Nothobranchius furzeri: one gene and its partners. The protein of the gene in region 1 interacts with the protein of each later gene in a pairwise test. Links are inferred from orthologs where the notes say so. Each region holds a gene or a part of one and is shown in the gene's direction. Other genes may lie near its edges. The genes, in order: sumo1, toporsa, sox2, etv6, atf2, ark2n and sall1a.

What was found.
Region 2: the proteins of sumo1 (region 1) and toporsa interact in a two-hybrid assay, tested with the Homo sapiens proteins (2 studies listed by BioGRID). The link is inferred for Nothobranchius furzeri from reciprocal best matches to the Homo sapiens genes SUMO1 and TOPORS.
Region 3: the proteins of sumo1 (region 1) and sox2 interact in binary tests that used the Homo sapiens proteins (3 or more experiments, as listed by UniProt). The two-hybrid records come from large-scale screens. The link is inferred for Nothobranchius furzeri from reciprocal best matches to the Homo sapiens genes SUMO1 and SOX2.
Region 4: the proteins of sumo1 (region 1) and etv6 interact in a two-hybrid assay, tested with the Homo sapiens proteins (2 studies listed by BioGRID). The link is inferred for Nothobranchius furzeri from reciprocal best matches to the Homo sapiens genes SUMO1 and ETV6.
Region 5: the proteins of sumo1 (region 1) and atf2 interact in binary tests that used the Homo sapiens proteins (3 or more experiments, as listed by UniProt). The two-hybrid records come from large-scale screens. The link is inferred for Nothobranchius furzeri from reciprocal best matches to the Homo sapiens genes SUMO1 and ATF2.
Region 6: the proteins of sumo1 (region 1) and ark2n interact in binary tests that used the Homo sapiens proteins (3 or more experiments, as listed by UniProt). The link is inferred for Nothobranchius furzeri from reciprocal best matches to the Homo sapiens genes SUMO1 and ARK2N.
Region 7: the proteins of sumo1 (region 1) and sall1a interact in a two-hybrid assay, tested with the Homo sapiens proteins (2 studies listed by BioGRID, with this or other methods). The link is inferred for Nothobranchius furzeri from reciprocal best matches to the Homo sapiens genes SUMO1 and SALL1.

The regions. Positions count from the first base shown.
Region 1 is NC_091743.1:83,214,167-83,218,266, forward strand, and holds the start of sumo1 (small ubiquitin-related modifier 1), read left to right. Parts: upstream 1-1,260; 5' UTR 1,261-1,397; coding exon 1,398-1,409; intron 1,410-1,757; coding exon 1,758-1,832; intron 1,833-4,100. UniProt on the Homo sapiens protein: Ubiquitin-like protein that can be covalently attached to proteins as a monomer or a lysine-linked polymer.
Region 2 is NC_091746.1:80,962,537-80,966,817, reverse strand, and holds the start of toporsa (topoisomerase I binding, arginine/serine-rich a), read left to right. Parts: upstream 1-1,469; 5' UTR 1,470-1,608; intron 1,609-2,551; 5' UTR 2,552-2,554; coding exon 2,555-4,281. Other genes in the region: ndufb6 (NADH dehydrogenase [ubiquinone] 1 beta subcomplex subunit 6), read left to right, coding at 293-385, 593-637, 780-845. UniProt on the Homo sapiens protein: Functions as an E3 ubiquitin-protein ligase and as an E3 SUMO1-protein ligase. Probable tumor suppressor involved in cell growth, cell proliferation and apoptosis that regulates p53/TP53 stability through ubiquitin-dependent degradation.
Region 3 is NC_091748.1:72,770,803-72,774,873, reverse strand, and holds sox2 (transcription factor Sox-2), read left to right. Parts: upstream 1-1,161; 5' UTR 1,162-1,649; coding exon 1,650-2,618; 3' UTR 2,619-3,541; downstream 3,542-4,071. UniProt on the Homo sapiens protein: Transcription factor that forms a trimeric complex with OCT4 on DNA and controls the expression of a number of genes involved in embryonic development such as YES1, FGF4, UTF1 and ZFP206. Binds to the proximal enhancer region of NANOG.
Region 4 is NC_091741.1:61,795,156-61,799,352, forward strand, and holds the start of etv6 (transcription factor ETV6), read left to right. Parts: upstream 1-1,267; 5' UTR 1,268-1,806; coding exon 1,807-1,836; intron 1,837-1,855; exon of another isoform or gene 1,856-2,122; intron 2,123-4,197. UniProt on the Homo sapiens protein: Transcriptional repressor; binds to the DNA sequence 5'-CCGGAAGT-3'. Plays a role in hematopoiesis and malignant transformation.
Region 5 is NC_091754.1:21,239,806-21,244,079, reverse strand, and holds the start of atf2 (cyclic AMP-dependent transcription factor ATF-2), read left to right. Parts: upstream 1-1,398; 5' UTR 1,399-2,018; coding exon 2,019-2,158; exon of another isoform or gene 2,159-2,171; intron 2,172-2,192; exon of another isoform or gene 2,193-2,360; intron 2,361-2,740; coding exon 2,741-2,813; intron 2,814-4,274. Other genes in the region: atp5mc3a (ATP synthase membrane subunit c locus 3a), read left to right, coding at 267-341, 607-797, 882-996. UniProt on the Homo sapiens protein: Transcriptional activator which regulates the transcription of various genes, including those involved in anti-apoptosis, cell growth, and DNA damage response.
Region 6 is NC_091746.1:60,556,010-60,560,407, forward strand, and holds the start of ark2n (protein ARK2N), read left to right. Parts: upstream 1-1,462; 5' UTR 1,463-1,685; intron 1,686-2,230; exon of another isoform or gene 2,231-2,233; 5' UTR 2,234-2,306; coding exon 2,307-3,123; intron 3,124-4,398. UniProt on the Homo sapiens protein: AMPK substrate important for exercise capacity and skeletal muscle function.
Region 7 is NC_091749.1:71,173,817-71,178,237, reverse strand, and holds the start of sall1a (sal-like protein 1a), read left to right. Parts: upstream 1-1,554; 5' UTR 1,555-2,340; coding exon 2,341-2,413; intron 2,414-4,066; exon of another isoform or gene 4,067-4,383; intron 4,384-4,421. UniProt on the Homo sapiens protein: Transcriptional repressor involved in organogenesis. Plays an essential role in ureteric bud invasion during kidney development.

The DNA.
Region 1 (4,100 bases):
CAACAAGCTGGTTTACAATCGGGAGCAGCTGATTAACATTGGAAAGGCTGAAATAATACCTCAACTGAAGCCACAAATCCCAAATGAGCTAAAATGCAAGAAGCGTGGGTGCAGAGCGTGAGCAAAACGGAGACACAGAGAGAGAGGAAATTCAAACCATCTCTTCCATCGATCATAATGGGCAATGTGAGATCACTGGTCAACAAGATGGAGGAACTCCAAGCCCTTTCAAGGACTCAGCCAGAGTTTCGGCTGTTCGGGAACCGCTGGAGGAGATAATGCAAAGAAGGATTCTCCAGAGAATCAAGAAAATTATGGACAACCCTGAGCGTTCTCTTCACAAGACTGTCCGACAACGGAAGAGTGTCTTCAGTCAGAGGCTTCTTCAGTTTCGCTGCAACACTGACCGCTACTGGAGATCCGTCCTGCCAACAGCCATTGTAATATACAACAAATCTTTGATGGCTTGATTATTATTATTATTCTGATCTACTACAGCAATCAATTTCCCTCTGGGATTAATAAAGTATTTTTGAATTGAATTGAATTGATTACATGCTGGTCCAAGTTCATTCAGTAGTGATTAACTTGACCCCTATTAATTCCAATTTAGTTCAGTTATTTGCAGTCAAATCCAGTCATGTTATGATAAAATTTAAATTGTTTCATTAAACACTATGTGTAAATGTGCATTCAACGCATAATTTTACCACTTTATATTCCCAAACAGCAAAATTCTGCTGCAAGAAGAACAATTCGTTTGATTATCTTTGGTGTGTTCTTGCTGTGTTGAAATTCTAATTCCATCTTTTAGTTTTTTTAAACACAGAAAGGTTTTATTTACCTGGGTTTTGCAGCCGCAAACGAAACGTTGCAGGTAAATAAAATCTTTCTGTGTTTTAAAAAGAACTAAAAGATGGAATTAATTTGATCACATTTTAAACACACCGCTCACTTCAGATCAATAACACTAAAACTGTGTCTTGCGATGGGATCAACATATTAACGTGCGCCTCATTGTATGATTTTTCAGATAAATGCAGTAATAATGATTATTAGACTTTTTTATTCATTGCAATTTGTTTGAATTTACATGAGCAAATGATTATAATTACTTTTAGACAATGATTGCTACTTCTGATAGTTTGAACATTTTATCTAAATATTATTTAAAAATATTTGTTGTTCACTGCTTTCATTAGAAGCGCAACAACAGCATAAAAATATAAAAAATACTATTGTTTCTCTAATCTGAAGGGAGTTTTATTGTGAAAAAACGTCTTTTCGTCACTTCCGGCTAATGTCGAATTCCCATAACATCTAACGAGAGCTGCAGCGGAAAGCTGAAGGTACATCTATTGTCAGGAAATTTGAGCCAAAACACAGAAAATAAGAAAATGTCAGACACGGTAAGACCCCAGTGTTTGTGGAAAACAACAAATCTTCTGTCGGAACTGTTCAGAAGACGCACAAATTGATTGTTTTTTTAGGCTCGTTTGGTTATCTAACATGCTACTAGCCAGCTAACGTAGCTTCAGGGACACAAAACACAGCTCTTTTTTGACCTTTTAGATAAAAATTTTGCTGTTATTTTTTAAAATGTCCAACAGAAACTGCGTGTTATTATATTTTATAGTCAAGTCGTTCAAAAAGATGAGCGATTTTGTTAAACAAACCTTCGAAGTGAACACTCAGGCCTGTTTGAACGTGGGTGCGTGTCTGTATTGTGCTGTTTATGTTGTTTGTTTATTTTTAAGGAGACAAAACCATCCAGTCAAGACGGCGGCGATAAGAAGGATGGCGAGTATATAAAGTTAAAAGTGATTGGTCAGGTAGGTTTTAATATCATTACAGCTAGTGAGATGGCTTTAGTCTGGTTATTCCTGCTTATTTACTGATTCACTAACTCTTTTTATATAACGGCCCTCCATGTAACCATTTTTTTAAATGGTTTTAAATTCATTTTGTAATTTAGTTTGAATTTACTGGCTGTAGTTATGTCCAGATTGGTATTAACTGCTGCAATTCTTACTGTTTATGCATTTTCTCAAATTATTTTACATCATTAGACTTTTTGTAAAACAACGCAAATGCTGCTAGAGAAGCATGCAGCTTACCTTAGTCTAGGCCAGGGGTCTGCAACCTTAACCCCCCCCCCCCCCCCCCCAATAAATAACACTTATTTACAACTACAGCTGTTGCAGAATCCTTCTGTAAAAAGTAATTTTATTAGACAAGACAGCATTATTTTTATAGCACATTTCCTCCACAGAGGCAACTCAATGTGCTTTATAATAAAGAGACAATTTCCATCTTTCACTTCTTTTTACAACACAGAAAAGGTTTCATTACCTTCAAAGTTTCGTTTGCGGCTGCAAACATCGTCAGGCTGACGCCGATGGTGGCGTCACTTCCTTCGTTTAGCGGGCAGCAGAAGACATCGTCGCCCTCTGCTGCCCGCTCTCCCCTCTCCGATGATGCAGTCCCATGCGCGAGCCAATGAGTAAACTCCATCGTCTCTGTTCATGGTCCCACATCCTTATCTCGATAGCTTCTTTTATCCATCTTTTGTTTTTCTGTTTGGTGTTTATGATCCTTGTGTTATCCCACATAATGGACTGGGACAACACAAGGATCATAAACACCAAACAACAGAAAAACAAAAGATGGATAAAAGACGCTATAGAGATAAGGAGACATGGATGTGGGTCCATGAACAGAGTTGATGGAGTTTACTCGTTGGATCGCGCATGGGACTGCATCATCGGAGAGGGGAGAGCAGGCAGCAGAGGACGAGGGCGACAACGTCCTCTGCTGCCCGCGGATAAACGAAGGAAGTGACGCCACCATCGGCGTCAGCCTGACGATGTTTGCAGCCGCAAACGAAATGTTGCAGGTAAATAAACCTTTTCTGTGTTTTAAAAAGAACTGAAAGATGGAATCTGAAACTAAACACAGCAAGAACACACCAAAGATAAATAAAGAGACAAAACAAAAACACAAATGAACATTAGGGTTACATAAAAAGAAAACATTGAAGACTAAAGCTGGAAAATTACCATAATATCAATGAAACATTGAGAAGAGAAATAATGTGGTCAGTCAGGAATGACTAAGTAGGTGTAAGGAGACTAAAACTAAGGCAGTAAAAACTGGTACAATGAACTACAAAAAACTTGTTGAATGTCTCTTTTTCTTTTAGAGAATTGGGCCACTGAAAAACCAGTTTTTCCCCTCAGAATTCTGAGAAAAAAAAGAGACAAAACTCTGAGATTAAAATCAGGATTCAGACATTCCCCCTGAGATTATAATCAGAAATATATTTTGTCATATTCTGTAAATATTTTTTGAAGAGATTCTGCTATTAAAGAGCAAGTCACCCCCAAATCAACTTTTTTTTTCTGATAAACTATATAGTGTGTCTAATCACGCTGCAGACACGTGTAGTCAATAGTTTTGTACTTTAGTGCATTTTAGTTCAAATTGTAATTTTCTGCCTAAAACTGTCAGTGTTGTGCCGTTGTCAGGTAAAAACCCTGCACTGCATTAGAATCTAAATCTGCCATCGCTATTGGCTAAGAGGTATGCTATGATGTAAACTGGTCCTTATGATGTCACAATGCCGTTGTGAGCCTGTGTGTGTATTTGTTAGTGGCTCCGCCCTCTCGGTCTGCCAGGCAACAGCATTTGTTGCATTTTTCAAACATGAAGAGGGAGTGAAGTAAGTTTCTTGTAGGGGGTGACTTGCTCTTTAAGTTATAAAATTTAGAAAACAAACGTGTGCGTACACAGTATCACTATTTTTTCTTTGGATGTTGATATTTGTTAAAAATGATGTAAAAAACACAAATAGATGTAAAAATAAGTACTGTTGTGGATATTCAATGCAATTATTCCTTAAAAAACTGAAATGCTGCCTAAACCTGCATTTGTTTTTTTTTTTTAAAGTTAAATAGATTTGGAAAACACATTATTTTATATTATGAGCCAAAGTTCTTTGAGCCATTGTGGAAGATCCAGAAATCCTTTTGGCCTTGTCGTATAGGGTGTGTGATTTTTTTAATGCAACACGTTTCCCTGTATACATCAGACGTCATATG
Region 2 (4,281 bases), on another chromosome or scaffold:
ATGGCACCCCATTCCTGCCATTCTGATAAAACCAAAAATAAAACACCTTTATTTCTTAATTATGAGATAAAAAGTAATTTTTTTAATTAGTGGCGGGAATAGGCTTCTGTCAACTGGCGCGTGAATTAAGAGAAGACTGGTTAAATAACTCCAGTTTGCTTAAAACTTTAAATGTTATTAATTAAATATTGAATTTAATCTAAAAGTGGATGGAAAATCCGATCTGTGATGAGAACATTTTTTTAGTTTCAGTTAAACATGCTTCTATAACTTTTTGTTTGTTTTCTTGCAGACCTACAAAGCATACAAAGGTGGAGTTTTCACAATCACACGTCTGCTCCTGCCTGGCTGGATTGTTCACTACTATGTGAAATATCACGTTGCTGTAAGTTTCCCCAAAAGTTTTGCAGTGTTTGTAGCACGTTTCTCCACCTGGTTTTCACTCATCCATTAAGCAGGATAGGACTAGACTTTTTCCTGTGTCTTCAGTTGTTTCTTGGCTATAATCAGACAGTCTCACTCAGTTTATGGATTCAAGTTTAATTTGTGTGATCAGTAGGATTACTAGCTAAAAGGTACATTTTCTCCACAGACAAAACCATATGGGATTGTGGAGACGAAACCCAAGCTTTTACCTGTGAGTATAGCATATATACTAGTTCTGAATAATACACGTGTGTTATTTTAATTAGCTGTTTTCTGTTTATGTGGTACAATCATTGTCTACCACTGACGTCATTGACTTGCTGTCTGAGATGTTTAATTGACCTTTCTTACAGGGTGACACCATTCTGGAGACTGGCGAAGTGTTACCTGATCTCCCAGAGATCCATGGCCATCACTAAATAAAAAAAAATGTGATTAATTTTTTTGTTTTTCTGTTGTAAAAACTGTATATTACAATAAAATATTACAAAATTCTTCATGTCTGACTGTAATGAGTGTGGTGTTGGGTTTTAACTGGAAGAATTTCATCATTTATTCCAGGACTTTGTGCTCATGATAAGATTTAGTTTTGTGTAGCTTTTCTTTTTAATAGGTTTTTAAATTATTATGTTGCATGAACATTTTAACATGATTGGTGTTTATGAGGCGGTCATAAATCAGTTTATGAGGTGTCGCAATTAGCACCGTTACCTCGCAGAGAGACACTCGCAGGTCGAAACTGCTGCTGCACCTTTTCTGCGCAGTTAGTACTCACCCCCCTCCTCGTGTGTGTGAACCTGAAAAGTTGTTTAATTGTAATCATGTTTTTTACTGATCGTGATTGAATTGGATTAATTTGCATCTTAGGTTTTATAGTCTTTAAACGGTCTCAATTCCATTCATGCTAGATCAAATCACACTGTTAGTTATTGTAGTCTTACAGACATCCTCAAAGCCTGGTTTTAGTGGAACTTTTTCACTTGAGTTATAAATAAAACCGGAAGTGTCTAAAGAAGTGCTCTTATTTTGAAGAGCGGAAGTGTTCGAACGTTGAAATTATGAAACCGGTGGAAAGGAGGTGAAACGCTAGCTGACAGATGTTTACTAAAAAGTGGATTTATTCATGAAGGAAACTCCTAATTCGTTGCCAGTGGTGTGTATGTGTGTTTGTCAAAGTCGCAGGTAAATATCTTACAACTCATTAACGGACTCCTTGCCGTCGTGTCATAACTTTAACGGCACCGTGCTAGCTAACGTAGCCACCTTGTGCTAGCTTCAACCAAAAACCCAGCTATAATCTACAGTTAGCTTTGTTCTGCGAATAAGAATATTTTTATGACTATTTGTTGAGGTTGTTTATGTTTTCAAACTAATCCAACATTAAATTTTCATCAAATCAAAACGGGATCGTAACAACGTCAGCATTCACTAAAACACACAACAAATGTGCCGAAAGACATATTTAATACGTTTTCTTGCGTTTCTATTATCTTGCCAAATATAAGAGCCATGTCTTTTTAGGTTGTCTTTCTGATTGTCCCGTTTAGTTAGTTTTGACTTATTTGAAAGACAACCAAAAGTTACAGCTCCTTAAAAGACAAAATATGGGCTGTGACGGTGATAAATGTCCTCTAGAGTAGAAATCTGTTCAGGTTAACGAGAATTGTTTGTGTTCATTTTCATATTTTCATAATGGGGCAGAAACGTAACTTTTAAATGCATCGCACTTTTCGCAGAAAAAAATCACGAAGTGCTTCACAGTAAAAATAGAAAATACGAGGAAATAAACAAGCAACAATTATAAATAAAATAAGGCAAAGCAAGTTTAAAAAGCCAAGTCTTTAAAAGTTTCATAGTTTATTTTAATCAACAACTTTTTCCATTGTTTATTACTAAGATCTATGTAAATCTGTAATAACACCAGCCCTGTGAACTTAGTGAATAAATGATTCAAACATAAAATAAATTCCATAATTTAATCATAGATGGAAAGCGGTTTATATATTTTTGCTGTTCTAGTTACTGCGTTTTATTCAATCAGCCTGCTTAGGTTGGCTTTATTGGTGTTTAAAGTAAGAGCTTGTATTTTGAAGATCACTCCAGCTTTTTCTTCTCTCCACATTAGATCATGTCTGCAGTCCAGATTGCCCTGCAACACAACCAGAACAGTGCCAGAGGTAAAAACTCTAAAGCGATGTCTGGAGAGGCATCGCCAGACTCCAAGTGCCCCATTTGCTTGGACAGATTCAACAACATTTCCCACTTGGACCGCTGCCTGCACAAGTTCTGTTTTCGCTGTATCTTGGAGTGGTCCAAAAACAAGGCCGAATGTCCGCTCTGCAAACAGCCGTTTAGGTCAATCTATCACAGCGTGAAGTCAGATCAAGACTTTCAGAGGTATGAAATCAAACAGCAGGTGGAGAATGCCTCTTTTGGCTATTTTGAGGGAGTGCGGTTCAGATACCGAACAACTTTCACTGGAGTTCGAGCAACGAGACGAACCTCTCCTCCTCCAGACAACGGAGTCATGTTCGAAGCCGCGACACGCCCGACCCTGGAGCAGCACCGAGATCATTACATTCGACGCATGATGACGAGGTTGGAAGCCAAGAGGCGAGCTGCGAGGGAAGGCAGGGCGGTGAACAGTGTCAGAGAGCAAGAGATGATAAACTTCAGGAGGGAACTGTACCGACGGGGTGTGAGGGTTCAGAGCGTGAAAGATGGCGGTCGGTCCCGAAACACCTCTGCTGAGTTTTATCGAAGAAATCCAGCCTGCCTGCACAGACTGGTCCCCTGGCTGAAGAGAGAACTGATGGTTTTGTACGGGGCCCATGGCTCTTTGGTCAATATAGTTCAGCACATCATCATGTCACGCATTACGCGTTATGATATGGAGGATGGAGCGATCCAGGGAGAGCTCAGACCATTCCTGCAAGGTCGAACCGAGCACTTTCTACACGAGTTCCTCAGCTTTGCAAAATCCCCCTTCAATATGGAGGCCTATGACCAACATGCAGTCTATGACTGCCCCGCCCCCTCCGGAAACGAAGGCAGCAGCTCCAACTCATCTGTGATTGCTATCTCGGAGGATGAGGATACCTTTGCAGAAGTGGATCCCCCAGGGGAACCTACTTCTCTTAGCCACTCTCTGTGGGACGACGAGACGCCTGGACCGTCATATTCCACTTCAGCCGAGCAGAGAGAAGCAACAGCGATGACACCTTTGAACTTGGACTCAGATATTAGTTCAGAGGAGGAGATGCAAGAGTTTGAGGCTTCTCCACACCGGCAGAGCTCACATAACCCAGCTGGCGTGCCTCAGAGTAACCGCAACGAGGAAGACCGTGTGTCTTCTGACAGCGAGGACTGTGTCATCATAGGGTTTGTCAAACCGACAGCAGAGAGGACTCCTGAGCTGGTTCACCTCTCCTCTGACTCGAACGAGTCTGAGATTGAGGATACTGAAGAGGCACCTCTCCCGCCCCATCACATCCGTTTCACCAGTTGTAGCCCTGCAGCTTCACACAGAAGCGGCTCTGTCAAGGTGGGACAAAGCCCAGAAACAGATCGCCATCGTCAGTTGGATTCAAAAGAAAGATCTTTAACCTCCAGAACGCACAAAACATCCAAAAAGCCAAACAGTAACGAGAAAAACAGGAGATACGACAGCAAAGATAGAGTGAAAGATCGGCATAAACCAAAGGACCGAGAGTACCGGAGGAAAAGGAGAAATTCAAAAAGTAGAGAGCGCAGGCTCTCAAGCAGAAGTCCAGAGAACTCCAACAGCAGCCTCAGTTCTCAGTCTGCTGAAACCGATTCTTCATACTCCCGTGGCAGAGACTTCTCCAAGTCTGG
Region 3 (4,071 bases), on another chromosome or scaffold:
GCAGCACTGCGCCAAAGCCGCGAGGTGGACAGTCAGAATAGAAACAAGTGGCACCAAGCGCTGCAGACTCCAGAAGTTTGCTCGTGTTGGACTGTTGAGCTTTCTGAGAGTGTGTTGCCTTTGTGGAGAATCTCATGTCGCATTAATCTGAGTTTGATCAGAACTGAAGCAGGTAGAGGCCGCTGCTTTTCTGACTCCCTCACGCGCTTGGTTGTGTTTTCACATGAATCTAGAAACACTCATGTCCTTTTATTAGCCCTCCCTTTTAGACAACGGGTCTAAGCCGCCTGCAAGCCCCCAGCAGCAGCAGCAGCATCAGTGGAGTGGAGTTGGGGCTTTGTCCGGACAGATGTAGCGACAACATCCCAAACAAAACGCGCTTATTTGTGCTGATGAGATGAGCCCGTCTGCCTTGTGTGTGTTGGCATTCAACTTCCCAAAACAAAAGCTTTAGGTGGGGAGGCAGACATCTTGGATTACCTTTCCTCCTTTCAACACCCAAAACCAGCCCCCCCCCCCCCCCCCCACACACACACACACAGGGCTTTTGAGTTAACTAACAACGTTTACTTAAGTCTTGTTGTGCTGTTGGGCCCGATTGTGTGTGTGTGTGTGTGTGTGTGTGTGGAGGGGGGGGGGTGTTAGTAACTTTTTTGATTATTCTCTAACACTGACACAAGGTCATGCCTTCAGTCAGAAAAAAAAACAGTTTCCGGTTTGAATAACGTCACCAGTTGATTATTGTATTTCTTATTAAAAGATATTTCCGCCTATTTGCCTTCATTTCACCACCTAAACATTAGATTATTATGTCTGGATTAAAACTTTCTAACTCAGCCACAGCTGAATATAAGATAATTGTCATTTTTTTTGGGTCGTTTTATTAATTTTGAGGAATTCTTTCATCATTTGCACGTGCTACCTGTTCAAGAAAAAAAACTTTTTATTTATTTATAAACGTCCTATCAAGTTCGGCGTCACAGTTTTACTCTTCATAAATAAAAACACTCGCAAATGAGCTTCTATACGGACAGCAATGAGAAACAATAATGCTCATAGTACATGTGTACTCTGTGTTTGGCTCATAGGGCAGCCTGAGAGTGAGAGTATGCCCGTAAGCTCCGGAGCAGACAGGCCCCGCCTCTTTATGCTAATTAGGGCCTCCCATTGGTGTGTCAGTGGGGAAGGCCTGCTCTGATTGGCCAGGTCGAAGCCATTTATTCGATGACAGCCATGACATGGTTGTCTATTAACTTGTTCAAAAACTATCAGGAGTTGTCAAGGCTCAGGCGGGCAGAGGCGCAAAAGTACAGTTTGTTGATGCTTTTTGGAGGAAGCGAGAGAAGTTTTGTGGACACGACATAGCAGGGACCTATTGGGAGAAGGCTCTCTGTCCACACACACTCTCTCACACACACACACACACGCACACTCGGGGGACGGAAGAGAGAAGGGAGAGTGTGTGGAGACGCGGCTTGATGCTTGTTTTTGTCCAGAGAAAAGTTGCAGAGCAACCCGACAGGTAACTTTCAGCCGCTGCGCTCCTCGCTGCCTCCGGCTCCTGGAGTTTCTGTTTCTTTTTCTTTCTTCCTCTTTTTTTTTCGTCCTCCATTCGTCGGCTTGGAAGCACCGACTCAAAGCTGTTCCTGATGTATAACATGATGGAGACTGAACTGAAGCCCCCAGCTCCCCAGACCAACACGGGGGGCACGGGAAACACCAACACCACGGGGAACGGCACCAACCAGAAAAACAGTCCGGAGCGGGTCAAGAGACCCATGAACGCGTTCATGGTGTGGTCCCGGGGCCAGAGGAGGAAGATGGCGCAAGAAAACCCCAAAATGCACAACTCCGAAATCAGCAAGCGGCTGGGAGCAGAGTGGAAGCTCCTGTCGGAGAGCGAGAAAAGACCTTTCATCGATGAAGCCAAGAGGCTGAGGGCCCTGCACATGAAGGAGCATCCGGATTACAAATACCGGCCCCGGCGGAAAACCAAGACCCTCATGAAGAAGGACAAGTACACCTTGCCCGGCGGGCTGCTGGCTCCTGGAGGAAACGGGATGGGCACTGGAGTCGGTGTCGGGGTGGGGGCCGGACTGGGCGGTGGAGTGAACCAGCGCATGGACAGTTACGCAGCGCACATGAACGGCTGGACCAACGGTGGCTACGGCATGATGCAGGACCAGCTGAGCTACCAGCACCCGGGTCTGAACGCGCACAACCCGAGCCAGATGCAGTCCATGCACCGCTACGACATGAGCGCCCTGCAGTACAACTCCATGACCAGCTCCCAGACCTACATGAACGGCTCCCCCACCTACTCCATGTCCTACTCCCAGCAAACCACGCCGGGGATGACCACCCTGGGCTCCATGGGGCCCTCCTCGGTGGTCAAGTCCGAGTCCAGCAGCTCCAGTCCGCCCGTTGTCACCTCCTCGTCCCACCGGGCCGCTCCTGGCTGCCAAAGCGGGGACCTGAGGGACATGATCAGCATGTACCTGCCCGGGGCCGAGGTCAGTGACCAGAGCGCCCAGACCAGGCTACACATGTCCGGCCACTACCAGAGCGCCGTGCCCGGGACGACGATCAACGGCACGCTGCCGTTAACACACATGTGAGAGAGAGACAGACAGACAGAGAGAGAGAGAGTGAGACAGAGCAAAAGAACTTTTATAAGAGAAACTGCGGACTATAGACGCTGGACTATTTTTGTACAGAAAAATTTGGGGTGGGAAAAGTTGTATAGAAGTTTCCAGGAAAAAAGGACTCCACTGTTTCTTTTAAAATTAATTTTATTTTTTATTTTATTCTGAAGATGCTCTAGAGGAACGATAGGAGACCCCCCCCCCCCCTCTAAAATGGTGGATGGAGTTTGGAAATCTAGAAAGTGGGAGTCGCAATCAGATGTTTTATTATTGCAATCACCTTTTGTACAGTATTTATCAAAGAAACATTACAATCAGAGGGAATTGCTAAACTGCAAGAGGTTGCATCTTTCTTTTCGTTTTTTATATAAAGCGGCGCCAGTTCTGCAGAAAAGATGAATGAATAAAAACTGCAGAATTGGAATTTTTATCAGTTAGAATTACTGCAAACACTGGAATGAAAAGGGACATAAGAAGCAGGTAAAACTGTTATTCTTTTCAGTTTTTTCTCCATTTAAGGTCAACGTTACTAAACTTTTCTTTTATTTCTTTGAGAAACAAACGTGAGACAATTTTTTCTGTCATGCAACTTAAATTTTTAGCTAGTTAATTTATATTTCCGTCTCCCACTTTTCATCATTTAGCGGACATGACGCTTGTGCTCTTTATTTTTTTTATTGATTTGTACAATTTCTGTATATTTACTGTGACATTTGAAGTTTTTATTTCAAAGCTCATTCCCGTAGTTGTATTTTGAAACTCGTGGCCTGTACGCAGAAGCCACGCACTCCATGTAAATACCCCCAGACTAATACCATCCTTATAACAGTTACAGTTTCAGCTGAGTATATTTTTTTTCAATATGCGGTTTGAAATGAATAAATTTTGGAAATTTGGATACTTGAAATAGTTTGAGTTTTGATTCAGTTTCTGTCACGTTGAATAATTCGTGTGTTGAGTGTTTTTTTTTCATCCCGTCTTTTTATTTGGCATCTTTCGGGTGATTTCTGCCTTTTGAGAACAACAGCAGCTTTCTGGGGGGACGCTCCTCCTTTATTCCCAGCCTGTGCGTCGAGGTTAACCACGTTTCTTTCTTCCAGTTCCCGCTGGTCCTCAAAGACAAAGTTTGTTGCCTGGAGAGGTTTTTCCAGCAAAAATTCCCAACATTCCCAGGTACAGACTGTCATTTCTCTTCTTTGATATAAAAAGAGGAAAACGTTGAGGCAAACATTTCATCTTAATACGTTTAAAAATGCTAATAATTGGTATGTGGGGGGCCTTTTTTGGACTGGGGCACTATTTTTATTTAGTGACACAACTGAGCAGGATTTTCATTTTTAAATAATTTTCCCAGTATTTCCGTGTTGTTTCACTGCTTGTTTGTGTTTTGCTCCTATAAATCCCAGTTTTCCAAGCGGCTTCCAGA
Region 4 (4,197 bases), on another chromosome or scaffold:
ATCACAAAATCCCTCAAGACTCCCAGCATCCTCCTCACTTAACTCGCGAGATCACAAAACCCCTCAAGTTTATGCCACCTAAAAGTAGGACATCACGTTTGATATCGCTGTTTGATGTCATATAATGTTGCTCCTCTCCACTGCCTGGATTAAAGCCATGAAAAAAATCACAGCTGCACTTCTGGAACAATGCTGGAAGTAAATGAGCCGTTAGGTCACTCGTATTGACGTAATCTACATGTGAAATTGCATCGCTGCAATAGTCTTTTATTTTGCTGGTGAAGGTTCTTGTCATCCATTTAATCCAAAAGGGTTCAAATGAAGGCAACTGATCTTTTATTTTGAAAATTACCGGGGGTTTTACACTGAACCTGTATGTAAGGCCTTTTAACTGCGGAAATTGTCGTGTCCCAAAAGCGGCACGCGGCAAAAATAGAGCTCGATCCTGTCTTTAGCAGCATGGTTTGCTGCTACTTCTCCTGCCTGAAAATGCCCACGTCACGGCTGGTTTTAATCACCCTTAAAGACAATAATGGATTCTAATTTTACGCAGCGCTGTTCCACGCCGCTGATGCTTCCAGTATGAAGTAGGGGTGAGAGATAGAGAGAAGCTCCACCATCCCTCGTTGCTCCCTGAGATGGTTTGGGCATCTAATTAGAATACATCTTGGTTGCCTTCCCTAGAAGTTTTCCAGGTAAGTCCCACTGGGATACTCCATGGCAGACTTGCCAGAGGGGTTGCATTGCCCTCAGAAAAGGATGGTTAGAGGATGTAGTAAGGGATGTTTGAGACTGCAACCTGCCCTTGGATAAGTTGAAGAAAATGGATTTATGAACTTCAAGAGCATTAGAAGGAATTTGTGGAATGCTTTAAATGATGCGTTTTGCACCATGCCTGTATTTGCCTTTGCATGCTTCAGAGGTTGGTCCAATTTAAAACAAGCTTGTGGCTTTTCAATGTTATCTCCTATAGGTCCCTAATGCAGTCGTGCCCACCAGGCACACTCAGCTCCGAGACTGGGCTAAAGGGTGACACTACACCCACACCAAGGTCAAAACATTCCTCTAGTCTAGTCTGTACTTGAGCTTTTAAATTACTCGGGATGGAAACAAATTTCAAAGTTGCACAGGCATTAAAGCAAACAGTTTGCAATATCATCTCAAGTTTTGTTTCTTAATCAATAAACTGGTTTATGCATTGTTTCAACAGCTTCTAATTTGCTGCTGAATTGCAGAAAAAAATAACCCGTGGTGGTTAAGCCTATTGTGTAGTTGCCTTAAGCATTGATTAAAAAAATAAATAGAAAGCAGTCTATGTTTGTATTTGTGTGTCTGTTTGTAGCTGTGTGCAAAGCGAACTTCTGCGATTTCCTGCTTCGGGTTTCCCTTTAAAAGGGGGCAAGGCTCATTGCTGGGAATTCACGTCATTTCGCCGTTTTACACACATCCAGATCAATGAGAGACACACACACACATAGCGAGAGGGGTGTCTCGCTCTTCCAGGAAGGGATTATTAACCAGCGACATGTGAAGGAAAAACACACACACGCGCGCGCACACACGTAGACAAAAGAAGTTTTCACACCGACGAGCCACGCCATGGATCCGGACCGCAAACCTTGAACAAAAAAGGGAAAAGAAGCGGGCTACATGAGAAAAACAACTTCTTCTCCCAGAACAAGGAGCCGAGCAGTCGGTGCGCGGCTTTCGCTGCTGCAGCTGTGCGGGTTTGCGTGAGCGGAGCGGAGAAAGAAGAGTGCACGACGGAAAAGTGGAAGGAGAAGGGAGAGAAGTTGACGGGAGATCATGTCCGAATCCTCCTCCGCTGCGGTAAAGGTAACACCCCCGGCTACGCCGAGCTCTCTCCTCCGTGCTGCCTTCGGTGGCGCTCGGCTGGAGCAGCAGTTTGTTTTGGTCATCTGTTGCTCGCGCCGCGGCGGTTCGCACGCGCTCAGCTCGCCTCCACTCGCGGAGGATGACGGGAAGAAGTCGTGACTGGTAACTGGTTTACCAACAGCTGAAAGTGTTCGTGTCCGTGCGGGGCATCGGTGCGGGGGAAGGAGGGAGCGTGCTGGAACAAGAACACACACATTTACTCAGACAGATTTCAACCCAACAAAAGGTAGCCGCTCTTCTCCACTCCGGTTTAGTTTAGCTTAACTTTAGCCTAGCCAGCTGTCCAAAATAAACAAACCAGCCACTAGCCGAGTGGTGACATGTGTCATCGAAGTGATGAAAAATCAAGAATCAGAATGTTGTTTAGTATCTCGGCTGGGGCATGTAAATAATGTTTGCGATGTTGCAGTCTGACCAATCTTTTCACTGATCAGTAATTAAAACAACCCATAGCAGTGGGGTGCCTTTGGCCAAGTAAACCATAACACTACTACTTAGCATTGTAGCAGCTACCATTAGTCTTATTTAGTATAACTTATTTAGCCACAATTAGTATTGTAGCTTCTAAAATTAACCACTTAATTTAGCAGCCTCATTTAGTAACTCAGCAGCTTTGTTTTATTGACCGTAACAGCTACATTTGGTCGCATTCAGGTTCTCATTCCAGTAAAAAACAGGTGTAAGCGTCTAATCATTTTAATAAAATATATTAATAAAAAATAATATAAAATCTGAATGCATAACAATGTCCAACTTGTACATTTTAAAGTTACTTTAAAACATCAAATGCTAATGTGGTCTTTTAATTATTTAATAATAATAATAATAATAATAATAATTCCTTTATGATAATTCAGACTGCTGCAGAACAGAAATAGCTTACCTATATTAATAACTAACGATGAAGTAACAATTTCCACGTTAAAAACTTTGTTCAAAACCAAATTTATTTGTAGATTTCAACATTCAGGACTACCTTTATATGTTTAGGTTAGATTCGAAATATTCTGATTTAACTTTATTTTGAATTTTAATTCATTTCAACTTTTAGTTTGAAGCTGCTATGGGCCATTAGACTTCCACAGGGCGCTAAACTTGAACTGCGAGGATCTTCGTGCTTGATTCTTACTTCTGTTTACCATCACTTAACTTTTATTTAGTGTGGCGAAACCTGTCAGACAAGATTGTTAAAGATCTCAATTTATTCCTGTGGAGTTTCGCTTATTTCATTAACTCTGCTTTCAGGTTTCTTATCAGATCGGGTTCTGATTGGGACCTTTATGATGATGGAAATGTTTATCATCAGCTTCAAATATGTGAAAGTAGTGCCAAGCTGTTGAGTGACTCAAAATGAATTGTCGTGTTTATGTTGGATTCAAATGACTGAGGCAGCTGTAAGTGCAGGGCTGCTGATCAATGATCAGTATTTGACTCTGAGAAGTACCACCTACAGCAGCGATAGCAAGGACAGCTCCACTTCACCTTTAGACATCAGTCCTTACTTCTGCTTGTCCTCTCAAAGTGACCCAGCTGAAGAGCTGCTTGATGGCTGAATCTTGAGTGAAGGGAAAGACAGAGAAGGGGCCTTTGTGCAGTTAAAGGAGGAAATAGGGGACTGAAAGATTACTGGTTGGCTTCCACGGGAAATTCCTGGTACACAGTCTGTTGGTATGCATGTCTCAAAGTGGCAAGCTGAAACTGGAGGGAAAAACAAAAACAAAGAAAAAAAACACCAAGAAAAATTTAGTGGTTTCTTCATTTGTAGGAAAAGAAATCTGTTAAGAGAGAAGGACTGCTAAGTAAATGCATAAATCAGATGTTTTAGGTGTTTGTGCTCAGAGCATCTTCGGGCAAGTGTTTATCATTATCTCTTTAGCACCTTTAAATTTGGTGTCAAATAGGGCTGCACAATATATCGAAAAATTATCGTCATTGCAATAACAGGACGTGCGATAGGCCAATCACAAAGCACGTCAAAATCGGCGATAAATGTTTGGTTCAAACATTTCCATCCGTGTCATACATCAGCTTTTTGTAAACCAGCTGTTTTTTACGCGGAAGTATTATTTGACCAATCAAATGTAGCCCTTCTGATATGTGGCCAATCGGATGGTTCCGTTCACGTAATACGCTTCCCCTTACGTAGACTCTTAGGATGGGTGGAACGCAACACCCGAATTGAGTTAGCGGCGCCGTTCCCTTGTTCGTCATGCCTGCTCAGATTAACGAACGCACTTTGTGCTGAGGTTTCTGGAATCAGCGTTGCTTTCAAACGTGAACGTGAGTCTGCTCTGTGTCATT
Region 5 (4,274 bases), on another chromosome or scaffold:
ATTGTTCAAAATGTTCAAAATCTGCTGTCCAGTGTTGACTGCTTCCAAGGTCATGTTAACCAGTGGCAGACATAAGAGTATGAGACCCTGCAATCAGCATGCGGCCCATCTATCAATATTGTGCAATTTCTGACTAATTTACACAGTTTTCTATGTCGGTGTGTGCTTAAAGTGTTCTTGAGTGGCACTTAAAATACACACCCTTCTATGTGAAGCTTGATCCAAGCAATGCTAAGTGTTTAATCTTGTGTCCATTGTTAATGCAGGTCCGTGCTGGTTCCCGGGCTCTTTACAGACCCCTGTCAGCTTCTGTGCTGTCCAGGCCTGAAGCTAAAACAGAGGTATGAAAGCATGTTTTCCACACCCTCATTATTTTTTTTGAAACCACAGCATTGCAATTGAAGTTTATATTTTATCGGCACTGTGTCTGAAGCCCTAATGGACAGGGTTTTAACTAGAAAGCCTTAGTAACTTGTAATAACTTTGTCTGAGGACTAGCTCTTATGTATTCAAAGATTTAGTTTCTAATTGTCACATTTGGTTCTTGTGATGTTAAAGTTTTTATTCTTCTTTTTTTTTTTTTTTTTTTTTTTTTTTTTGCTGCAGAGCTCTGTTTCTGTGATGCCACCAAGTCCCCTCACTCAGGTCACACTGAGAGGCTTCCAGACCAGCGCCATCAGCAGGGACATTGACACTGCTGCCAAGTTCATTGGTGCTGGAGCTGCCACGGTTGGAGTCGCTGGGTCCGGTGCTGGAATTGGGACTGTGTTCGGTAGTCTCATCATTGGTTATGCCAGGTTTGTTTGAATTATTTCAAATATTTATTGTTAAAACAATTTTACAATTTCTGTTTGGATTCACCAACAATTTCTTGTTCTCAGGAACCCATCACTGAAGCAGCAGCTCTTCTCCTATGCCATCCTGGGATTTGCCCTGTCTGAAGCTATGGGACTCTTCTGTTTGATGGTTGCTTTCCTTATCCTGTTTGCTATGTAAAACTGCCCCACAACACTTTAATTACAGATGTGACTACATATTTTATTGTGGCTACCAAAATTGTTCCTTGTTGGTGTCATAGAAATGTACATTTTTCAAGTCTCTCAGACACTGTCAAAAACAGCAAAACATGTATTGTACAAATGTAACATCTTACGTGAATAAAATACATGTTTTTGACTATTCAAGATTGCAGAAGCTTGTGTCCAAAACATCACCCAACACAACAGGAAGGGGTTGACTTTCATGAATGTCATCTTTTCAGTGAATCAGCCTTGTTTTCTGAGCTTTTTGGGGTCCACGTGAATTATTTTGTCATTAAGCTGCAGTTAAATAGGTGTGTAATTGTGCAGCAAGTGAGATCTAACGGCATGGTAATGGCACTGAATAAATCCAAATGATTTACTTGTGTTAAATGTTTGTTTTTTTTCCCCACAGGAAGAATTAAGTAATTGGCCAATACTTTAAATGAAAGCTTTGGCTGTCAGATCTTTTAAATTTTATCATTGTATGCAAAACTTAAAGGCTTCCTTTCATTTTTTTGACAGAATAGAATTATGTTGGGTTAAAGATGAGTGGCACATGAATATTTTAAATTGACCTTTAGACAGGTGCAATTTAAACACTGACTTCAAAAGAATCACTTTAAAGAATGTCTGCCTTTATTCTTCAAACAGATCTGTCTGCAGCTGGTAAGTTGATGACTGCCTGGTACAGAATCACAAGGGATCTCAAGTGGGTGGATTGCCTAGCAATCATTGCTACAAACAAATTGAAGCGTTTCTGTAACATTAAATACATCTAAATTGTAAGAGCTTATACATCACTCCTAGCATTTGATTTTTTTAAAGTTTACATTTGTGTGAAGAAGGCAGTCTGCTTGAATATGCAAATTATGTGTGCTAAGCGCTTTAAGACTATATTAGTTTTTGTTTTCCTCTAAAAACAATTGAGTTACGTTATGTTAGAATAGTTTATAACATTGGTCCGTAATTTATTTTCTCATACTTTTTTTGACTCCAATGAATTATCCCCAATCGTTTGTGGATGTGGCATTTAACGAATATCTGTTATCGCGATACTTGGGGAAAAAAACGTGGGATTTTGGAAATCAAGGGTTGTGGCTAAGGGGTAGGTGTCAACTCAAACCGCTAGCGACTGTGTACGAATCTTTGGTAAATATACCTAATTTGTGGCAATGTGAGCTGTTTCTGTTTGGTGTAACAAAACAGGAGCCGAAATAGTAGTTGACAGCTCTTTTGTTTACAGCGTTACGTGCGTGTTCAAATATGGCGACGGTTATGTTAACGCAAGGCTCAGGCTAATTCATGGAAGCGACTGGATTGTAGCTCATCCTTTTAGCTGTAAATATATTCTTTAGTTGTTTTGTGATATATGTAAAAATAGACATGCGGTTCTCTTAAAACATATCTCCGTGCTTTGTCTGGAGCAGTGTATCTAAACGTTTTTTATAAGAGCACCGAGGTGTAAACAACTACAGAAACCGCCCCTTATCGATGGTCTTTGTCCAAAACGTTCACCTGACCCCAGCTGGAGTTTTAACTTTTATCATAACTAAACCAGCATGTGTTTACATATTATCATCTCTGAATCGGAGTAGAAATATTTATTATAGGAAGAGTTGCTCTGCATCTTCATAGATCATCAGTTCATTAAAAAAAAATATATATATATATATATAATGCAGATGTTCAGGTTAAAAGTGTTTTTTGTATTATTTTAGGGAGAAGTTACAGGAACTCCTTAATATGAGTGATGACAAACCCTTCCAATGCACTGCTCCTGGGTGTGGACAGGTAAGCAATCCGATTTTGAGAACTTCTTTGAAATTAAACTGATAAAAGACTCTTTGAAGCATCATTGTTCAAGGTTATTTCGCAAAATATGACTTAAGTTTGATGTAAGAGTTTTATCTAATTGATTCATGACTCAATGCATAAAAGCTTTACCAAAACACTTGTCAAAAAAAAAAAACTTCCATTCTTATATCCTCAAAATCTGACAAAATTGTTAAAATGATCGTGGGCACTGAAATAGCCATCACAGCAGTATATGTATGATCATTTGAACATGCAGCCATGTTGTTAGGTTTATATTAAACTTATAGCTTTTTGTCGTTCATCAGAGGGTGAATTTTGAGAGCAGGTGTGTGTGGTTGTGTGTATCTCCAGAAGCTATTTCTTTTACTAAAGAAATGTTAAAGTGAAATGTGAACATCAGTTTGTTTACATGGAAAACATACCCTCATAACCCAAACAATAGTGTGAATAGAATATATAGTAAAATAACTCTGGTAATAGTCATGTGTAACATCATCACCTATAACCTTTTATTTTTACCCATGTGTGATTGCAGAATGGAGTGTATGCAGACAAATTTCATTTTTTAAATAATAATCATTCAATTTCCATTCATTCTTAATTAAAATGTAATCCAAACAAGCTGATCTGAGTGCCCCAGTAACATATAATACAAATAAATAATTTCACTTAAATTAGGAACATTTCACTTGCTGCAGCCCCAAACGCACATTCCTTCTGCTCCACGTAAACCTGAACTGGTCACCTGCAGCTTGTGCGTAATCCAATATCTGCATGATGCTTGCTGAAGAGGTTATGAGGTTCTGGACGTTTGCCTCAGACTCGTGGCTGTTTAAATGTTGTTCTGGATTAATCCTCACTATGCTGACACACTTGAAGCGGGTGCTGAATAACGAGCACTACTTAAGCCACAGTTTTAAAATGAGGAAACATTTCTCCAAATAAAATAACCAGAAGTCTACCTGACTATGAAAGATAGAAGGGCTTCCACTTGACAGTGCGCTCTTGCGCACAATGTCGAGTGCGTCACAGACGCTCTCCCAGCTCCTCTTCAGCGTGCCGCTTGCGGACACTGTCAGCAGCGAGAGGCGGAGAAGGTGAAAGATAATGCTCAGATGTTTTGTTGATGGAGATCTTTTCTTTTTTTTATCTCCGCGATGTTCTCTGTGCGTAACGTGTAAAATATCTGTCATTAACAAACTTACGCTTGGTCAAACAAATAAATGAACAAATTGCTTCTTATAAAAACAACCATAACAGCTCAGCCCGTCGCCGATGGTCGAATAATTCATCCCATCGCTGAACCCTAATGGTCGGCAAATTGAAAAATCTAATTGCTAGCCTTTATATGAGCTACAGTGACGGAGTAAACGCTAACTGCCGTAAAGCAAGTAGAGAGCTCCACCTAGTGAACCTACTCATGCCACTAAACTTTTA
Region 6 (4,398 bases), on another chromosome or scaffold:
ACCCAAATGAGGCGAGAGGAAGGAATGCATTGAGTTACTGAAGGCGATGCTGAACTGGGATGCAAATGAGAAGATCATGCCGAGCGCGATCCTCGCCCATCCCTTCATCACCGTGGACTACAGCAGATTCAGCAGCTCTTCCTTGGAGTCTTATCAGCATGCTTGATCCAGAACCCTGCACCAGCAGGGCTCTAAGTCTTCATGAAAGTAAAGCATTTGCTCCAAGAATGTGCTGGAAGCCAAGTCAAGTGATTCAAATACCTGTGAACACATCAACCCTTTCCTTAATGTCAAACCAGCTGCAACTGTGGAAGACCTAAACATGGAAAACGGTTTGTCTTGTTCCAGCAAAATACTCAGAGAGCCAAAGGAGGAGACCTTTTTGAAGCAATTATTTTGCTGTTGCATGCTGAAGTCAAATGCTGGAGAGAGTGTTATGGCGAATGATCAAGAAACAAAAAATCAGCAAAATTGACACCTAGGAGATCGTTCTCCAGGGTGTGGCCCCTAAAACTGTACTGAGAAGCTGCTCAGTTCTCTATCTTGATCCAATATGAAGAGTAAATAAATGTTTTGTTCAAGCATTACTCATATAGTGAAACAGTGCCTTTAATTTTTTTCATGCAATTACAATTTTTTGGTAATTTTGCAAAAACCTCTAACACAGCCATGCCTTTTTGAAAGAGCTAAACATACTCAACAATATATTTCATAACCTGGTAAGTAAGGCTTTGATAGACAATTAATTCCTTTTCAATGATGTTTGCCTTTAAAATGCATGTGTAACAGGTCCGGGTAAAAGAAGAATCTCTAACATATTTTGCAGACTATGCCACAGTGGCTTGTTAAAGAGGATTCAAATAACTGTTTCAATGCTAAATGGGGTTTGACAGAGTCCAACACAGATTTAATATCTAGGACATACATTTCTCAGCATCTAAGTGGAGATGAAAAAGTGGTCTATTTTAAAACAAACAGCAGTATGCTGTATTGGCAGAGCAACAAATGGATTCTATGTGACTCACAAATAGCATAAATTCCGAGATATTGTTCGCATATTTTCAAAATACATTTTAGCTCACAGAGCTTCAAAATACAGACAACAGATGCAATCTGAGTGTTTATTGGCATCATTTTGTTGTAGATATAGTTATAATAATTATTATTGTTTTCTAATGCTTCTAATAGACATTTTGATTATTTTAGAGCTTTTATTATGGAAAATCATCAAATTCATTATATCATAAACTATTAAACCAACATTTTTAATGGCCTTTACGTTATTGTTAAGCCATGGGACACTGTGCTAAGACTTGTTCTAGAATCAAACTGTATATTTTATTTTTGCTATAATCCATAAATTCACCAGTTTTTAGGAATCATTTAAAACTGTAGTACCAAAATACGACTCAAGAGGGCGCTCTATTGTGACAAAGAGACAGGAAGTAGTACGTTTAGCTTTGTGAGCGACATTTTAAATAAACCCGAAGCTAACTGCTAATTGTTACAGAGCTTGCGAACCTGCGAGCAGCTTACGTCAAAAACACGCAGGATTTTATTTAAACTGTAAATAGTTAGTGATTTGAGCGGTGTGCTGGTCATACAACTCGTCGAAGACAGTCTGAAGATTACCGAAGATGTCCAGATGTCCGACATTGTGATAAGAATAAAATACTGACGCTGTGGTGAGTTAACAGCAGCTGAGTGCTGCTTGAGCTACCTCTGCATTAGCTGTTAGCCGCTAACTTGAGCCTGCCTAATAGAACTGTGGTTGGGTAGATACTGCTTCCATTTAAAGGATTTTGCAATGCAGCTTCTCTGCAAGCCACATTTCTTCCTCACGACTTGCGTTATTTTGGCAAAATTTGCGAAGGTTATGATTCATGACCGAAATAAGCTTCACTACGCAGCTCAAGCCGGATTTCTGTTTAGCCGTGGACACAACTTATTAGTATTTCCTTTTGTTATTAATAAACGTGACTCACTGTCTGGATGCGTGTTGGATTATTGCGTGATTTATTTGATATTATAGTATGGGACGAAAACTTTAGTTTTTTATTAAGCAGTAAATCCATTTTTAGAAAATTTGGCTAAAGTGAGACGTTTGATATTTAAAATGACGTCAAACCCTCTATTTAAATTAAATTGCATGTGTTATGTTAACAGAAATCTGGCAAGTTTTAAAATAACTGACTGTTGGCTAGAGTTAGTAACTTGTTTTTCTCTTTAGCAGGTGAGTTCTTGTCCAGGCACATTGGTCCAAATTGGCTGGACCTTTGGGCTCTGGGCTTCATCAGCTGGAGAAAATGGCTGATTTAGTGAAGGCAGAGGAGTTTTTGGATGCTGAATGCCCTCCAGAGTGCCTTGATGAAGCACAATCAGCTATAGTTTCTGTTCAAGGAGAACAGGATGAGAACCTGAAAACGGAAACCACCACCAGTACTAGTTCACCCCCAAGGGAAAAGGAGGCTGACAGCCCTTTAAATACCGAAGGGGAGCAAAGTCTCCTCTCTATGCCATGCCTCATGAAGGAGCTCCACCGAGACTCCCCCGAGTCCCAGCATGCATCTACAGGGAGTGACAAGCCAGCGTCACGCAACATTTATGAGAGTGACTCCTCAAATCCTTGCATGCTCTCTCCCTCATCTAGTGGACACTTGGCTGACTCAGACACGCTTTCTTCAGGGGAAGAAGGGGCAGCTCCCCCTGTAGGAGAACACGAGGGTGGAATGGAAACTGTAAACGATCCTGGGCAAATGGCAAAAAGACAAGCATCTGCCACTGCTTCTGGGGGGAGGAAGTCTCGGCGGTCGCATTCGGAGAGCGAGATGCCTCCGATTGCAATGGCTGCAAAGAAGAACCGCTGTCAGCCAACGGCAATAGCGACTGGGCAGGAGAAACAAACCAATGGCAAGTTGACGAAAGTTAAAGGTCCCCGGAGCCAGAAACACAAAGAGCGTATGCGCCTGCTGAGGCAGAAACGAGAGGCGGCAGCACGGAAGAAGTATAACTTGCTGCAGGACAGCAGTACCAGTGACAGTGAGCTGACGTGTGACTCCAGCACCAGCTCCTCAGATGATGATACTTCAGGAGGCAGCAAGACAATCAAGACAGATATTCCAGGTAACCTCCCATTACCTTATCACACCCTTCTAGCGCAGTACTTTACATAGAAAACAATAGCATTACTTTATAATATTGCTTGTATAATTGCTTGTATAATTTAGAAGTTCAAACATAAACCTAAAGTTAAACTTGATAAAAGAATGTGTGCTTTCTGATAAGGACAAGGCTTTATTTGTGCTCCTTTTGACAACCACCTTTTCTTTTTCCTGTTAATTTCTCATTCATCGATAGCCATTCTCATCGTCTTTAAATGTAGAAATGTTGTTCCGAGTTGTCCTGTCACTCGTCACTTTACATCTTTTGTGGTGTCTCATAGTTTGCATGCTGTGGAATTCTAGTTGTCATTGTTCAACCCATGGATCAATAATCATTTTTTACTTAGTGATTGTTTTTTTTTTTTTTTTTTTTTTTTTTTTGTCCAGTGAGTCATGGATCTGTCCAATCTCTGCTCTAAACTGATAGAAGCAGGCCACGTTGGTCCAGAATATAAGACATACATGTCAATTTTTTTTAACTCATTGGAGAATTAAAGAATAAATATTAACATCACCCAAATTACTGCTTGGAGTTTAGTATATCCTGTTATTTATCAAATATTCTAGCAGAAGTCCTGGGTTGGTTTTATAATGAACTCTTCCCATACATGGCCTTTTATTTATTCCTGTAGTTTTCTATATATTCAGCAGCATTTTCATGTGTCTAATGGCCTAATGATGCACATCTGGGAGTGGATGTGGTGATAAAAACATTCAACCCTGGTAAACACCAGGAGGCAAACTCATTTAACTGTCTGGATGGGTTTGTTGTTTGTTTGCATCGTTTGTTTTTCTCAAGTCTCCTGAGTGAGTTCAGGTGTCACGTTTTACTCAGCTCAGGTTTTTTTTTTTTTTTTTTTTTTTTTTTGCTGTTTAAAGAAATGTTTTTATTTACTTTAATCTGGCCTTTTCAGCTTAATTTTTTACCTCAAGATTTCAGTTTTATCCAACTGAAGTACCAGTTGCATTTGATTTAGTATAAACGGTTTGTTTTGGTTTATTTAAAATTCTGTTGATTCGTTTTACATGTAGTCGCTGTAGGGGTAAAGCCTAGTATCTCAATTTTTAAACATTTTCACGTATTTACATTTAGATCTATTGGTCACATTTCACATAAATCAGTGAAAAGTGGACACTAAAGAGAGATGTTGTGACATTTGACCACAGAGTCGGTTCTTTGTAAAACTGAAGACTTTTTCCCCCAACGATGACAAAACTGTATTAGATGTATGTTGTA
Region 7 (4,421 bases), on another chromosome or scaffold:
CAGTGAATGATGGCACCTGGGACACACCGCTCTGATATGGCGCGCGCACGGTATCGATTGCGCGTAAACGGCAAAATGCGCACCTTTTTCTGTGCGTCGAAGCTTCAAACCACCAGAATGAGTCTCTTTTCCTCTCTGACTAACCTAACAGGATAATAAACCTTCTGAGTTTTTCTTTGATTGTTTTAAAAAGTTTCATTTTGATGCCCTTTCGTTCCTCCAGAGCATCTTTTATGAGTTTTAACAAACGAAAAATAAATGATAAAATATTCTATGTGAGGACTTTTCTTTGATCTCTTGACTCCTCCGTGAATCCCGTTTAAAACGTCGCTGCGCCACAAATCAGCCTGTTTACAGTCTCACACCAACACTCACATCAATTAACTCCTCATTGATTTTCCCACTCGGGACACGCACCCCCCTCCCCCCTTTAAACTTTATTTATTTATTTATTTATTTATTTATTTATTTATTTATTTATTTATACTCCTCTTGCTGCATTTAATATTTACACCGGCGCGCGCTTGTCCACTAGTGACCGCCTGGAGATGGACGCAGCGTTCTCTGCACGTCCATCAGCATTTATGAGTTTTAAAACTTCAAATATTTGTAACGATCTTTAGAAAAGTGGGAGGAATTCACTCAGAGGTGTTTGATTTTCCCTTTTTTGCTCTCTCCTGTTTTCATGAATAAGTAAATAGTGAGGCTAGTCGAAACTAAAAGATAGCTGACACGAGAGTGGACCAGATCCATCTAGCCTGCAGCTGCTCTTTAAATATTCAGGGAGAAATAATGGCATCCGAGGCATCACCTATAGTAACATTATTATCTTCATTTCTCAAAATCAGTCCGACTGAGAGCTTCGTTTATCTTTTTCAGGTAATAAATCTACTCCACTCAGCCAAGATCCCGCGGGACCTCTTTGGTCTCTTAAAACATCCACACCAACTCCTGCTGCAGCCCCTAATATAATAATAATAATAATAATAATAATAATAATAATAATAATTATTATTATTATTATTATTATTATTATTATTATTATAAATATCACAGACGTAATGACAATATTCACACACTTCATTTCAGGGTCTAGAATTATCAACATTTCTAAATAATCTGTTTTTTTTTACTATATAGTTTAAAAACCGGAAGTTCATCTTTTAAACATTAATTCGGTGATATTTCTGCCACACGTGGAACTTGTGATTGTTTTTCTGTGTCTAAAAAGTTTATTTAAGTAATTAAAAGCTTTGCTTGTCTCCGTTCAGGTGAGCAGATCCGGTTCTGAGAACCGGGTTCTCTCTGCTGTCTCGTTCCGCTGATCATCATCCCGGCGCGCGCGGCACGTTTGGATCTGCAATCAGACAGAATAGAGAGAGCGCGCGCGAGAGAGAGAGGGGGAGAGATATAGGGAGAAAGAGAGAGGGAGAGGGATGGGGTAGAAGAAGAGGAGATGGAGGGAGGGCTGGAGGTGACTGAGCAGCCCGCTGACCAATCAGGCGCTCGGTGGGCGGGGCTCTGGACTGTCCCACTGCCGCACGGGCCCTGAAAGTTTGTTTATTCGCGGAACGCAGTGCGTGATGAAAACGTGTTAGTCCCTTTTCCCGCTGATAATAATTAAATTCAGTTTTTCTCTAAGAAAAAAAAACTCATCAGAGGGACGCAGATTCACGCGCTCATTCTGGACTTCTGGGAACCGCGCGGTGCCGATTACAGTGCGGACCATGCTCTGTTTTTGCGTGCACCGGACGGAACCGGACCGGCAGCCCCCGTTCTGAAACTCCTCCGACGGAGAGCCGAACCGTTTGAACGCGGCAGCTGATCCGGGACCAGCGAGCTCAACGGGCTGAAAGTTTCCTTGCGCTGGCGGCGGTTTGGGTCGGCACCAGGATCCCCAACCCCGCAGAGAGAACAAGCAAACACTAGACCGATGGAAGACTCGGACTTGAGAAGCTGAAGTGTTCGGGATCAGGATCAGCCCGACCCAAGGGGTTAACCGTGTCTGCAGGGAGCTGGAGGGTCCAGCCTCTCCTCCCGGTCCGGATCAACTCATTGGGTGGGAGCGGAGAGAGAGACAAGAGTCCAGCAAATCAGGAGCTAATTGATTAAAGAGACTTCATTTGAATAGGAGGGGGGCTGGCGAGGTGCCAATCGCCGTTCAAAGCGCCCCCCCCCCCCCCCCCCACCCGCCTCCGCCCCCCACCCTGTATGATTAATCGCACGGCATTATTGATAATCATAACGGGGCACATGCGCGGTGGATGGGCTCCGTTTACGTAATTTTTGAGGAGGTTTAAGTCATTTTTTTATTCTTTGCCTGCTGATGTGCCAGCCAGCATGTCGCGGAGGAAACAAGCGAAGCCGCAGCACTTCCAGTCCGACCCGCTTCTGCCTTCACCGGAACACAATGGTGAGTCCGAGAGCGTTGCTTCTCTTCCCGACCGGCCGGTACCGGACCGGGTTCGGGAGTTTCTCACACTTTCAGTTGAACCCGTGACACTCTGGAGTTATGATTAATATTATTATTAATAACTTTCTGCTTAAACCGGCCGCCTGATGGAAATAGCTGTTACTTTTTAAACAAAGTTCGGTTTTTGTTCTTTTTTTTTTTTTTACTTTTTATTGAAACAAATAGTTTAGAATTAAAATCTATCATTAGTCATGTTAGATTATTATTTTATTTTATTATTAGTCACTGCTCTTGGTAAAAGTTTCAAACTTGTTATTATTATTTTAAAACTAAATAAAAGGCTCGGTGCTCTCCGTCCCAGCAGCGGTCGGTGTCGGTGCGCCGAGGCGGACCTCCGTGTCGCTCCTACCGGGACACGCACGTCTCTTGTCCGTGCCACGCGCTGCAGTCCTGCGCGTTAAGGTCCTCTTCCGTCTGTTACGACAAAGCCTCCCTCTCTCTGTTTGCTTGTTTTGTTTAATTTGTTCGAAAAAAAACAGTTTTTTCTTAAATTTGTGCAAACGTGTTTTTTTTTCTGCCGCATTTTTATTATTTTCAAGCAAAAACAAAAGAAGAGTTTAAAGCACTTTTACGCACAGTCACGTTTGTGTTCTAAAATAAAAAAAAAATTCTAAAACGAAATGAATTCAAACCATAAATAAATAGCGAAGTTTTGCATTTATTTTGTATTAAACTGCAATAACGACTTCCTTCCAAATGAAATAAAACGCGTCTTTCATTTTAGTTTGGCTCAAATTTGAAAAAGGCCTGCAGCCGAACTTTTACCTGTCGCTGCTTCAAAATGTTTTGATGTTCATTTTGATCTGATTTTATTCTGATTTGACAGAATAAAAAAAAAACTCCATTAAACTTTGATTTAATAAATTAAAACACAACCTTACAACGCTGTGCTCGTGTCGACTGGCTTTTACGTGAAAATGTGTCTAAAACATTTAAATTAGCATCCTTCAGTTTAAAAGCCAAACATTAAATAAGTAGATAAGTATTTTCCTGCAGAGCTCCTGTCAGGCCTTTTTAAGTAAATGTTGGAATAACCTGGAAAACGCACGCAGCTCGTTGGGAATGCTGAAGGTACAACAGCAGGTCATGTGATTATTTAGAGACTCTGAGAACTGATGTGTGTGTTTTTCTCTGCATTTTTCTTCAAATCTAATAAAGTTTGTGTGTGTGTGTGTGTGTGTGTGTGTGTGTGTGTGTGTGTGTGTGTGTGTGTGTGTGTGTGTGTGTGTGTGTGTGTGTGTGTGTGATTACAGGACATGTTGTTTAGAGAGTTTGGAGGTATTTTGCTGAAACTGAAGGTTGTGGGATGTAGAAGTGGAACAGAAAGTCATTTGTGTCTGTGCTGAAGTTGTGATGCTGCTGGTGGGAGGTCAGGAGCAGCGCGTGGGGGGGGGGGGGGGATGGGTGGGGGCTGAGCTGTTTTAACCTTTGCCAGTGCCCCTCTGAGTGGAGGCGGTGGGGGTCCAGGGCCCAGCGGGCTCCTGTCGTAGCTGCAGGCGGCCCAGAAGAAGGCCTCGGCCCTGAAGCCTTATCAGTGCCTGTCCCCTCGTGTCCCTATCAGAGTGCCCCCCCCCCCCCCTTTCTCCATAAGAGAAAATGCCGCCCCACCCCCGACACTGTTGTTTCCTTCAAAGAAAGACTTGAGTTGCCTGTCAAGCTGCCAGAGTTTATGTGAGACTAGGTGTGGAGTGAAGGACTCGCTTTGTCTTTTTCCCTCCCCTTTAAGCTTAAACCGTGTCGCCGGGCCAGAGCTGGTGAGATTCCAGTCTTGTCCTGAACCACGGCGGCTTTTAGTGGAACCCCATCTAGTGTTCGGTGGGATGAGTCCAGCAGGGCCGGAGAGGACGTGAGCAGAAACCCTCCTGAAGTTACCAGACGCTCACAGAGGCCCCCTCGGAGAAAAAAACAATGTAGGATTTCTCTCAAAGAGTCTTATTTATTTATTTAT